Mus musculus: one gene and its partners. The protein of the gene in region 3 interacts with the protein of the main gene of each other region in a biochemical or structural test. Links are inferred from orthologs where the notes say so. Each region holds a gene or a part of one and is shown on either strand. Other genes may lie near its edges.

What was found.
Region 1: of the proteins of Mtor (region 3) and Eif4ebp1, one has a biochemical effect on the other in vitro, tested with the Homo sapiens proteins (29 studies listed by BioGRID and IntAct, with this or other methods). The link is inferred for Mus musculus from reciprocal best matches to the Homo sapiens genes MTOR and EIF4EBP1.
Region 2: the proteins of Mtor (region 3) and Stat3 form a complex in vitro, tested with the Homo sapiens proteins (2 studies listed by BioGRID, with this or other methods). The link is inferred for Mus musculus from reciprocal best matches to the Homo sapiens genes MTOR and STAT3.

The regions. Positions count from the first base shown.
Region 1 is NC_000074.6:27,259,034-27,263,220, forward strand, and holds the start of Eif4ebp1 (eukaryotic translation initiation factor 4E-binding protein 1), read left to right. Parts: upstream 1-1,293; 5' UTR 1,294-1,375; coding exon 1,376-1,517; intron 1,518-4,187. UniProt on the Homo sapiens protein: Repressor of translation initiation that regulates EIF4E activity by preventing its assembly into the eIF4F complex: hypophosphorylated form competes with EIF4G1/EIF4G3 and strongly binds to EIF4E, leading to repress translation.
Region 2 is NC_000077.6:100,890,907-100,894,550, reverse strand, and holds part of Stat3 (signal transducer and activator of transcription 3), read left to right. Parts: intron 1-334; coding exon 335-387; intron 388-565; coding exon 566-660; intron 661-746; coding exon 747-886; intron 887-1,264; coding exon 1,265-1,477; intron 1,478-3,644. UniProt on the Homo sapiens protein: Signal transducer and transcription activator that mediates cellular responses to interleukins, KITLG/SCF, LEP and other growth factors. Once activated, recruits coactivators, such as NCOA1 or MED1, to the promoter region of the target gene.
Region 3 is NC_000070.6:148,447,212-148,451,396, forward strand, and holds the start of Mtor (serine/threonine-protein kinase mTOR), read left to right. Parts: upstream 1-1,370; 5' UTR 1,371-1,476; intron 1,477-4,185. UniProt on the Homo sapiens protein: Serine/threonine protein kinase which is a central regulator of cellular metabolism, growth and survival in response to hormones, growth factors, nutrients, energy and stress signals.

The DNA of each region.
Region 1 (4,187 bases), on a different chromosome or scaffold from region 3:
AAGTGCCACCACGTTCAGTTTTTATGTTGATGCTTCGGATTTAACCGTGGACTTAGTGTATACGTGGTAAACTGTCTACCAAGTGAGCTGTGTTCCAAGCTTCCCCTTCCCCGTGTTTTTTTTTCTCTCTCTCTTTCACGGTTTAAGACAGCGTCTTAACATGTCTGGCCCAGGCTGTGCATCAAACTCGCCACAACCATGTCTGCCCTCAGCTTTTCTGTAATGCTCCTGTCTCAGTTTCTCTGAGCTAGCATGCCCAGCTTAAGTCTCTCTCTCTTCTTTCTGTGTCTGAGACAGGGTTTTGCTGGGTAGCACAGGCTAGAATCCTCCTGCTTCAGTCTCCTCATTGCTGGGACAAGTGTGGACCACTTGAATGCTGAACTTGGATGTTGGACTTTATAAACAGGCCCTTCCCTGAAATCGTAGTTCCAGGAAATCTGGGGCCTCTAGAACAACCAAACAAGGCAAAAAGCAAAACCCCTTTCAACATGCTTCTCCCAAAGGGAGGAAGGTGGCCCAGTGTGTTCTCTCAGGCCAGCCCGGACAACAGTGAGAACAGGGTTCTGGCCCTCCCTCGGCTGTCAACTTGGGATCCTCCTAGGGCTTCAGCCTCCTCACGGTCGGGATTATAGGCATTTCCTACCATATGGAGATTGATTGACACAGACACTGTAACCGATTGGACATGCATTTTCCCTTCCCTCCCTAGTGACTACCAGACAAAGTGCTGGAGTGGAACCCAGTCCAAGTACTATGCGGATCTTTGACCGGTTAACTCTAATCCTCCCAGCCCACAGTACGCAGAGCTTCGATCCTGCCCATTCCTCATCAGATTTATATTCGGTTCCTAGCTGGCTGGCTAGGTCCCTCTTACTCTTCCACTACTCCTTCCAAGTCCAGGAATGTGCGCTGTGCAGCCGCTGCTCTGACTCCTAAAAACTGTAAAACTGTAAAAGCTGTAGAAACGTTAAGAATGGCGAAGGATCAGCCCACCCTTTCTTCTCTGAGGATCGGCCTGGGATCGAGAGGTCACATCCTAATATAGAAAGCAGGCGGTCTGGTGCGCTGAGACGCTGCCACCAAATCGGAGAGTTCTGCCACCGTCATCCCTACCTAGATCTTCCCAGAGTCTCGGGGAGGAACCAGGGAACCCAAGGGGCCCACACTGGGGTTCCTGCACTGGAGAGGACAGAAGCTGCCTAGGTCAGCAGCTGGGGAACCACTTGCAGGCAGCGGGCTGGGGCTGGGTGGGGCCGGGCGGACCGCAAGTCTCAGGGGGCGTGGAGCCCAGGCGGAAGGGGCGGGCCGGGCACGAGAAGGGCTGGGCCGAGGTGCCGCGGGGTTGCTGGAGGGTCGTGGGCGGCGTGCAGGAGACATGTCGGCGGGCAGCAGCTGCAGCCAGACTCCCAGCCGGGCCATCCCCACTCGCCGCGTAGCCCTCGGCGATGGCGTGCAGCTCCCGCCCGGGGACTACAGCACCACTCCGGGCGGCACGCTCTTCAGCACCACCCCGGGAGGTAGGCGCTGGCCGGGGTCACGGGCGACCTCGGGGGGCTGGAGGATACGTCGGGATCCGGAGTCTCACGTGCGACGGGGAGGGCGGCATTCGAGGGGTTCGGTAGCTGGCCAGAACGGACGAGGGGCGTCGGGAAAGCAGAAGGGTCACCGTCTCGGTTGCTCGCCTTCTGGGTGTGGTGGAGCGTGGTCTGGAACCCGGCTGCAAACTGCCTGCATTATTAGCCTTTTCCTGGGAGATACGGCAGAGTGCCCTGAGCATACAGATAGGCACTCTGCCAGGACCACCATGTGCTTAAGGGCGACCTCTGTGGGTGTCAGGGCAGTTTGGGGTGGGACAAGATCAGGGAAAGAGGCTGGCCTGGAGATTAAGTTTAGTTGATCTCCCTTGGAATAAGTGACGCCTGCACACTTTTTTTTTTTTTAACCTTTCCGGAGGCAGCCCTCTTTGCTTTGGACACTCGCTCATTAATGGAGGCTGGACGCTGAGGGTGCTTCTCTGCCACCTGTGGCTTGTGTTAAGAGAGAGATTCCTGCAGGGGCGGCGTCTGGTGTAGTGCAGAACAACACGTTCCTCGGGCCTGGGGGGCAGGGCACAGCGTTGAACTGGCCCAAGTGGCGGAGGATGAGGAAGAGGAAGCTGAGTTGGCGCGGGTGGGGGCCGGCCTCCGGGAACCAGGCATTCCCAGCTTGCCCTGGAGCCCCAGTATAGACGCTGATGAAACCTACCCGCCTGTTTGCATGATGAAATCCTCGTGGCTCACTACTTCCCTCCCAATCCTCGCGCCGCTCCCACCCACTTTTGCGCTTCTCCCCTCCCCGGTCTCCTCCCCCAACTACTCCTCTTACAACTCAAAAACAAGAGGAATCCTGGCGCGGTGATGAACCTTGGGCTACTGCTGGCGCAGCCGGGCCACATGCCTATTTTCTCGGGCAGCTGTCCCTGCACCAGGGAGCACAGCCAGATCCCAGAACCAAGGCACCGATGAAGGGATCTTGGAGCTCAGTCAGTGTCCACTGGGTTCTGTGATCTTCAGGACACAGCACCAAGGCCTCGCTGCTTGAGCACGTGTCTGTTGTGCATCGTCATGCTGAGTTCCTACACTCAGCAAGAAGTAGCAAGCAGGGCAGGGGGAGAAAGCCGGCTCCCTCTTATTAGAAACGGCCCAAAGGAAAAGTTTTCTGCAGGCTTCTGGCCTCCCGTTACTGGAGTTCTTCAACCCCGCTGGCCACTTTTTAGTTCACGCTGTTGCCCCTTTGTCTTTTCGCAGAACTTTGTGTTGAGCACAAAGTTTCACAGAGAGTTGAGTCCTTTTAGGCGAGGTGTGAATCAGGGTGTATTTTTTATTTTTATTTTTTATAGGCACCGATACAGACCTAAAGGCTCTGGGAAACGTTTATTTTCTCTCTTGCCCGTCCCTTTCTGGATGAACAGGTTAGCTGGGTAGCAATAGCCAGTACTGTTTGTAATGCACTCTGATCCACTTCTCACTGTGGTCTGCGAAGTGTCCGTTGGCAGACCAGGTAGTTCCCGTTGTCTTTGAAGAGGAAGGGGTTTCCTTAGAGTGTAGCATTTGCTTCTTAACTGAAAGAAAGCAGTGTCAGGTCCCCAAAGCCAGCTGGCCCTTGTCAGATTTTTGTTGCTGTTGTTGTTGTTTGTGTGTCACACAGTCCATAGCTCGAGGAAAGACTTGCTTGTTTCTGCCAAAGCCAGTTAATTTAAGGAGTGGGATCTTTTCCCAAAGGCCATTCATTCCAGGTCGCCTCTGCTAAAGGGCAGAAGCTTGACCCATTTGCTCCAGAATGTTTCTCATCACTTAGCACCCCAACGAGATACGGAATCCGAGTGCAGAGGTCTACAGGGTGAGTTACGGGAGAGCCAGGGCTACACAGAGATCCTCCTGCCTCACCTTACTGAGTGTTGGTAATTCCGGGGTTAACAGCTGTTGAATACCCTTTGGGCTATTTCTCTTTGCTCTCATCTATTCTCTGCAAATCCATCTAACTTTTGAATTTTCTTACTTGTATCAGGGGCCAGCTGGGAGTTCAAGGTCAAGTGAATCACCCTGAGGTCTACTCTGTCCTCTGGATCTATGGGCGTATAAAGCCCATGAGCTTGAATCAGGACTGAGTCATCTGCCTAACCATTATATGCTTGATTGGCTCACATTCCATTTTGAGTACTCAGGAGTTACAAGGGAAAGGGATAAACAACACACAAACAAAGCCCATACACGCACACACACACACACACACACACACACACATATACACATATATGTATACACACACACACACACATATATACACATATATGTATACACACACACACACATATATACACATATATGTATACACACACACACACACACACACACATATATACACATATATGTATACACACACACACACACACACACACACACACACACACACGGCTTTTTTCCTTGCCTTTCCAGATCTTTAGGAGTCTGGCAAAGTAGATCTCATATCCAGGCATAAAGTCAGGTTTCTTGAACTTAAGCTTCCTATACTCCTTGGCATGTGACTTGACCTGTAAGGGGCTGCAAGCTCTACATGAAGAAATACTACAGGAAGCTACTTCAGCTGAGAATGGCTTTGAAGCAGCTGCCTCTGGAGACCAGGGCACAACAGGTGGCCTGAACCATCTC
Region 2 (3,644 bases), on a different chromosome or scaffold from region 3:
TAAATTTTTTCTCCCCTTTAAAAAAATATCTGGACTGAAAGTAACTTTGACCTGTGCTCCTACAAAAAAAAAAAAAAAAAGGCTCCTGACCCCAGCTGCCAGCTTTGTCACTGTGTGTTGCCAGTTCTCAGACCACACAAGGCAAGGACAAGCAGGGGTCCAACAGGACATCTGTGCTGGCCTAATCTAGGGACAGCTGTTGGGCTTGGGTGTGTGTGGGCATGTGTGGCACACACCCTGTAAGTACATGTACAAATGCATGGCCTTTTTGTAAATTCTGCTTAAGAAATAGCTTTGGCCAAGGCTGAAATCCGGTTGTTGTTTTCTCTTCCAGGGCCTGGTGTGAACTACTCAGGGTGTCAGATCACATGGGCTAAATTCTGCAAAGTAAGTGATCCTGTTGATTCCCTCAGTTAGGAGGTAGGTGTGGGGTGCCCAGGACCCCTTTCTCCAGCAGCTGTCAGGAGCTGCCTGAGGATAGAGGAACCTGAGGGTGTAAGAAGGCTCTGGCAGGAAAGAGCTGGGGTGAGTGGTGGTGGACTTGCTTTCCCATTCTTTTCTCCAGGAAAACATGGCTGGCAAGGGCTTCTCCTTCTGGGTCTGGCTAGACAATATCATCGACCTTGTGAAAAAGTATATCTTGGCCCTTTGGAATGAAGGGTAAGGTTAAACTCTGCAGTAAGGCTGCCCTGTGTAACGAGTCACCTACTCCCAGCAAGCCCGTGACTGGTTGTCCTTGGCTGCAGGTACATCATGGGTTTCATCAGCAAGGAGCGGGAGCGGGCCATCCTAAGCACAAAGCCCCCGGGCACCTTCCTACTGCGCTTCAGCGAGAGCAGCAAAGAAGGAGGGGTCACTTTCACTTGGGTGGAAAAGGACATCAGTGGTAAGAACGCTTGCCTCCTGTATCACTTGCTCCACCTGCTGGCCACTGGCAGCACCCGGCTACTTCATGTTCTGGGTACTACTGCCCCCTGAAGGGCAGAGAGGGCCTGTGCCTCCTGAAGAGGTGGCCTGCCAGTTTGTCCTGTTCACTCATTTGGCTAACATTTGTGTAGAAAAGTGTGATTGAAATCTTACTTCTGTACTCCCTTTCCTGCCTACCCCGTTAATACATTTGCGGCAGGTGTTTTTGCCTATGAGCCAGCTGGATCTCTACAAGCCCGCCTGGATATTGCCTCAGTTCCAAGTCACTGGGCAGGGCATTCAGAGTCTCCAGCACTCACTCCACTGGCATAATCTCTCCTTCCATGGTCCGTGACAGGCAAGACCCAGATCCAGTCTGTAGAGCCATACACCAAGCAGCAGCTGAACAACATGTCATTTGCTGAAATCATCATGGGCTATAAGATCATGGATGCGACCAACATCCTGGTGTCTCCACTTGTCTACCTCTACCCCGACATTCCCAAGGAGGAGGCATTTGGAAAGTACTGTAGGCCCGAGAGCCAGGAGCACCCCGAAGCCGACCCAGGTAGTTGTTGACTTTCCATGGCTTTGCCTTCCTTCCTAGTGAGAAAGTACGCATCCTTGGAGAGACAAGGACATGGCTGAGTATCTTGTGGGAGCAGGGCTTGGTGATTCCTTCTTTTGGGAAAGAGTGGTTTATTGGGTTCCTTGACAGGGTGACTAACTCAGGATTCAAGAGGAGGACAGAATCAGCCCTCAGGGAGCTTGGAAGTCTGAAGATGAAAATAGTATCTCTCCCTCTTCCTCTCTTCTCCCTTTCCATCTCCCCCTCCCTCCCACCCCGCCACTTTAAAACACTAGAAAGAGAAATGAAGGCAGGTCTCTCTGGTGCTTCTCCAGTCAGTGGGTTCCAGAAGACCCGAGACAGATTTGAGTCCAGCATGCTTTGCTGTCCTGAGTGAGCAGTGCCAGGAGTCTGAAGAAAGGCTTTCTGGGGCAGTGGCTGTTGGCAGCCTGGGGCAGAGCTGACATCAAGCTGGAGGTGTTGATGTTCCAGAGATGATGACTGGAGGGAATGTGGACTTGGCATTTAGAAACAAGATGCATCTACTCTGTGGGAGTGCGTGTGGCTGTAAATCAGCATTTCTCAGCCTTTCACGGAGCGCTTAAGACTATAGGAAAACAGAGATTTCCATTATGATTCATAACTGTAGCAAAATTACAGCTATGAAGTAGTAAGAAAAAGTAATGTATGGTTGGGGTCACCACAACATGAGGAGCTGTATTAAAGGGTCATAGCATTCAGAAGGTTGAGAACTGCTGGTATAAATTATATGAAAAATAGAAATTATGTTGTGTTAAGTCTGTAGTGTCTGGGGCGGTCCCAGTGTAAAGAGTCAGAGGTGTCTGGTCTGAAGCCATTTCAAACTTGTTGCATTGACGCTTGCCTCTGTCCTTATGCTGGTGAGGAGTCTGGTTTTCTAAGACTGTTGTTGATCATTGCACATGCTGAGCTCCGAGGTGCCCTGTGTGAGCCGGCCTCCTTGCTCTGAGGTGCCCTGTGTGAGCCGGCCTCCTTGCTCTGAGGTGCCCTGTGTGAGCCGGCCTCCTTGCTCTGAGGTGCCCTGTGTGAGCCGGCCTCCTTGCTCTGAGGTGCCTTGTGTGAGCCGGCCTCCTTGCTCTGGTGTTTTTTCACCAACCGCTTCTGTTCACATAGCACCTGCACACAGCTTCCCCGGCTCTGCCCACCATTCTTGGAGGAGTCGCTTGTTGACGGTTACTTTCCTTTCCCTTTGTTCTGCTGTTGAGTTCTCTTCATTCTGTGGAGGAGTTCAGCTCTCACTTCCTGTCTGTCCCTTATCTCTGCTTCCACCTTGCCTTCAGTTGGAAGATCTGTTTATCAGTCCCTCTCACACTGGTCTTTGTTCTTTTCACAGAGGACTTTGAAGTCCGAGCACTGATCCTTTTGACTAATTTTGCTTTCAAGATCCAGGCCCCTGGTCAGGCATCCACCTCCATCACCATTCCTGTGTAGGCTGCCCAGAGACATTCCTCAGGGGCAAGGCCTGGGCATGAGAAAGGAGCCCACTGCCTGATGGGCTTGCCTGTGAGCCTAGGGAGAGTGCACTGGGGGCTCCGGAGCCCGATGATGGAAGGGTAGGGGGTTCAGATGATCCCCTTAGGGAGGTGAGCCTGTATGTCCCTGTCCTCTGCCCCTGCTACAGGAGTATTGCAGTAGAGACCTCCCCGGAGCCTCGTCCTGGGTCTTCCTTGTCTGTCAGGAGGCTGTAATATACCCTGTGCTCCTCTGGAGGGATTTTGAGCAAGTTCACCAGGCAGCAACAGGATGTTCCTTCTCTCTTCCATCTCCAGTCTGTGTCCCGCACTCCTACCTCGGGCCGGGTCAAAGAATATTTCTCTCTTGACCACTGGAGAATGAAAGTCTTCTCTTCTCCGCTCTAACTTATTGTGTATGCATGTGTGTTGGGGGTGGTCCTTGTTGGAGGACCTTGAGGGTGTCAGCTCTCTCCTTCTACCATGTAGCCCCTGAGGACAGAGCTCAGGCTTGGTGACAGATGACTTAAGCACTAAGCCATCTCCCTGATCCCCTCTGTCTCTTTAAGGTGACAGTTCTCACTCTAGAGACCTTTTCTAGAACTGTAGGCAGCACAGTTGCCTCAATAATTCCTTTGCTTCTGTGCTGAGTTAACCTGTTTCTTGGCCACAAATGAGCT
Region 3 (4,185 bases):
TCTCATTACATTTTAGTTGGCATTTCCCCAAATTAGTATCTAGGAAGTGTTATCAATGCTTTATAAAGGGTTGTATTGTAGTATAACTTGTACTTTGGTGTGTTTTTAATTTGTTTTTTAACTTAAAAACATTTAACGCTTTCAACTAATTGGAAATCTTTACCTTACTAGCAAATATTTATCTGCATTATCATTACTAATAGCTTCACATGTTTCTTTTAATATTAATGTGTTTAATAGTTCACTCAAATTCCTAATTCAAGCTATTTAGGAATTTTCAGTGTGTATTACAACACTGATAAAAAAATAAAGATTTAAACAAAAGATCTGCATAAATTTCATATGAAAAATTTTAATGATACATTTTTATATATTGGAGCAGGTTCTCTGGAAGGGCCTTAAACACTGAGAAATCTCCCTAGTTCAACCTTGAATTTCTGACCCTCTAAACCTCCACCACCAGAGTTCTGGGAAGACAGGCATGCACTTTACACAGTGCTGGGAATTGAACCCACGACTTTCATGCCTATCGGGCAAACACTCTTTATTTTTGGTTTTTCGAGACAGGGTTTCTCTGTGTAGTCCTGGCTGTCCTGGAACTCACTCTGTAGACTAGGCTGGCCTCGAACTCAGAAATCCACCTGCCTCTACCTCCCAAGTGCTGGGATTAAAGGCGTGCACCACCACGCCGGGGTGGGCAAACACTCTTATCGACTGGTTTACATCCCTAGCTCCGGCTATTGCCCGTTTGAAAAATAAAAAAAAATTTTTAAGGATTTTTCTTTAAAATCTTGTATTTAAAGTAGTTCGGTGATCATCTTATCCTGAGAATGAGCTCACAAGTAAGGCAATTTGGGGACAGTGAGAATAAAAAAAAACAAAAACAAAAACAAAAAAACCCTTGCAAATGCATATTCAGTTTTACAAACGAGAAAGCAAGAGTTCCTCAGTGAACCGATTTCCAAGATATGTCTTCTGCAGTGATTCGAGAGCGTCGGACACTCGGCCCCTTCTCAGCATCCCGAGCACGATCCCTAACCTCTGCCCCAGTTCTTTCAACAGGTCCTTAGGGTACCAAACCGTGGCTCCACACGGTCACAGCGTGTGTGGAGGGGACTTGTAGTAGCGACGTACCGGAAGTGTTCGTGGAAGTGACCGAAGTCAACTCACGACTGATTGGCTCTTCGGAATAGTCCTTCGCCTCCTTTTGCTTGCCACTGGTTGCTCGTTTTGTCTATTTGAACAATCCCCGCCCTCGAGAAGCCGGTCCCGAAGCTCCAATTCTTCATGATTATTGGTGGATGTTCCTCCCCATCTTCGAGCTCGGCCCGCTGATTGGTTGTAGCGCTTACGAGCCCGCCCTCCCCACCTCCCTGGCCTAGAAGACAGCGGGGAAGGCGGGTGTTGAGGCTGGGGGCCTGAAGCGGCGGTACCGGCTCCGGCGGCGGCAGCTGAGGCGGTGGCCGAAGCCGCGCGGTGAGTCTGGGGCCTGGAGTCGGGCGCTTGCGGCTGGCGGGACGGCCAGACTCCCAGCCAGTGTGGGCCGTGCTGGGGGAGGCCCGGGAAGCCGCCTGTCTGAACCGTACAGCGCCCCAGCACCAGCTCCGCGCCCTCGGGGAGACCCCCGCAGGCTGGCGGATCTGCTCCGGGCCTTCCGTGGAGCATTTAGGTCTCCTTCTCGGGCTCAGGACCTGGAACTCCAGACCCACCTACTGACGGTGGAGCCTGTCCCCAGGAGCTCCAGTTTCGGGATCTGCCCCCTACACTTCACCATGGAGACCTGCCAGGAACCCAGACCTCCGCGCCCACGCAGGGTCAGCCTCAGGGTCACGCCCTCCCTTCACGTTTCAACCTTTCAACTCGAATTCCCCTAAGGCATTCTCACAACCTTTGGGATTTGTGACTCAAATAGTTACTTTGAATCCAGCCTGGGGCAGCTGGCTTGTGGGTAAACCTTCAAGTGACTGTCTAATTACTGACGTGATGAGAATAGAAAGTCCAAGTCGGTCTCCTTCCCGCTGCCTCGTGTGCTTACACGCTCAGTAGTGGTTTCTTCCGCTCTAAAACGGCCCAGTTCCTTTTATAGTATTTTATTCCCCCTGTAGTGTAGCGTTTGAAAGCCTTTCAAGACTATTTTACTCCTTATGTTTTGTGTTTATCCCTAACCCCGGCATGACCTTGAATTTCTTGCCTCTCCCTCAGTGCTGGGCTTAAAGATGTGTGGCATCGTGCCTTGGTTATGAGGTGGTGGGGATTGAACAAGGGGTTCTGTGCATGTTAGGCTGTGTCTCACAGATTCTTTCAAAGCCAGAGTGCTTCGGGAATTGTTTTTGTTTTTTAGTATACTCTGGCAGGATAGGTGTATATGTTAGTTACTGCCATGGCATAGTGGGCTAGCCCCTTTTTAATGGCCACTTTATTGGGGTCCCCTGGATGGTAAACTTATTGAGGGAACAAACATCACATAGTTGAAAAATGAGTGATAGTGTTGAGCTCACCATTTGAGTGTGTTGCTATTTCCTATGGTGTGTGTGTGTGTATGTATGTATTTGTTTCTAGAACTGCCTTCCCAACCCAGTGAATGCCTGTTCGTCCTATGAAATGGTGCAGTACTTGTATATAACCTTTTGTATGCTTTAAATCACACCTCCCTTGCTTTTACCTTCAAACACTATGAATGGTTGTTATACTGTACCATACACTATGAATGGTTGTTATACTGTACCATACACTATGAATGGTTGTTATACTGTACCATACACTATGAATGGTTGTTATACTCTACCATGTAGCAAATAATGACAAGAGCACTATTTATTGATGGGGGGTGGGAGGTGCCGTGCATGCAGTGGTGTGCACGTTGATGTCAGGACAAATTATAGGAGTTCTCTCCTTTACCTTGTTGGTCCCAGAGATCGAACTCAGTCATCAGATTTAGCAGCAAGCTCCCTTTCCCACTGAGGCATCCCTCCCACCCACACCCTAGGATATTCTGTCCATCCTTGGTAGACTCTCCAGGTTCAGAATCCATGGATGAGACGAGCTAGCCATGCTAGTACCCTGCACAGCTGCACTATGCCATCCATACAACAGCCTGTAGCCACATGTAGCTGCTGAGGTATGACCGATCCAGATCGGGATAGTTGAATGCGAGATTTTGGAAACTCGGTCTCAAAATGAGTTTTTGAATTATTGGATCGAGTACGCCCTGTGAGTTTCACCTGTTTCATTTAAAATTACATGGAGGGCTGGCAATATCTCAGCACCTAAGAGCACTTGTTGTTCATCCAGTGGACCCCAGTTGTCAGGCCACTCTCAACTGCCTGCAACTCCTGCTCCAGGGACTCCAATGTCCTCTTCTGACCTTTGCAGGCTTCTGCACATATGTGGCATACACTCAGATAGTCATGCATAAATAAAATAAAATAACATAAAATGACTCACGTGACTTGTATTATATTTCTGTTGGGCCAGACTGCTGTAGACTCCATACACTCCTGCAAATGACAGTCTGAGGAAAGGAGAAACCTTAGTTTTAGTTCTCTCTCTTCTGCCCTACTCCTGACTTTAGACCACATCTACAATAGTTATAAAAGCGAAGAAGAGCTGTGTGTTGCACTCCCAGAAACACTTTTAAATGTGTAAATCCTCACCTTATCCCACGAGTTAGGCTCTTCTACTGAGGTGCCATGGAAATTGAGGAGTCTTAAGTGTCCCCCTTAAGGAAGGTGACTTTGCCTCAGGATTTAAGCCCAGGTAGTCTCTGGAGTCCCAAGCCTGGCATAAATGAGTGGAAATCCGTGTTAGGAAGGCCACAGAGGAATTTACTAACAGAGTTTATAGAGTATTGAAGGATGGGGCTGGGGACGGTGTTCCGTCTCGGTAGAATGCTTGCAGCATGCAGAGCCCAGCTTGGAATCTCAGCACCCTTCGACTCCTAGCTTGGTGGTTCCAGGCCGTCAACTGTGGCGTGAGTTCAGGGTCATGCTATGAATAGAAGACTGGCTGAAAAAAATGAAAGAAAAAGATTTTTAAAGGGGCCAGCAAAATGGCTAAGTAGACAAAGGTGCTTGCTGCCAGGGTTGACAGCCTGAGTTTTATCTCTGGGATCCACATAAAGAGACAACTCCTGCAAGTTGTCCTCTCACCTCACATATGCTGTGGTATGTGTGTGTATGTGTGTGT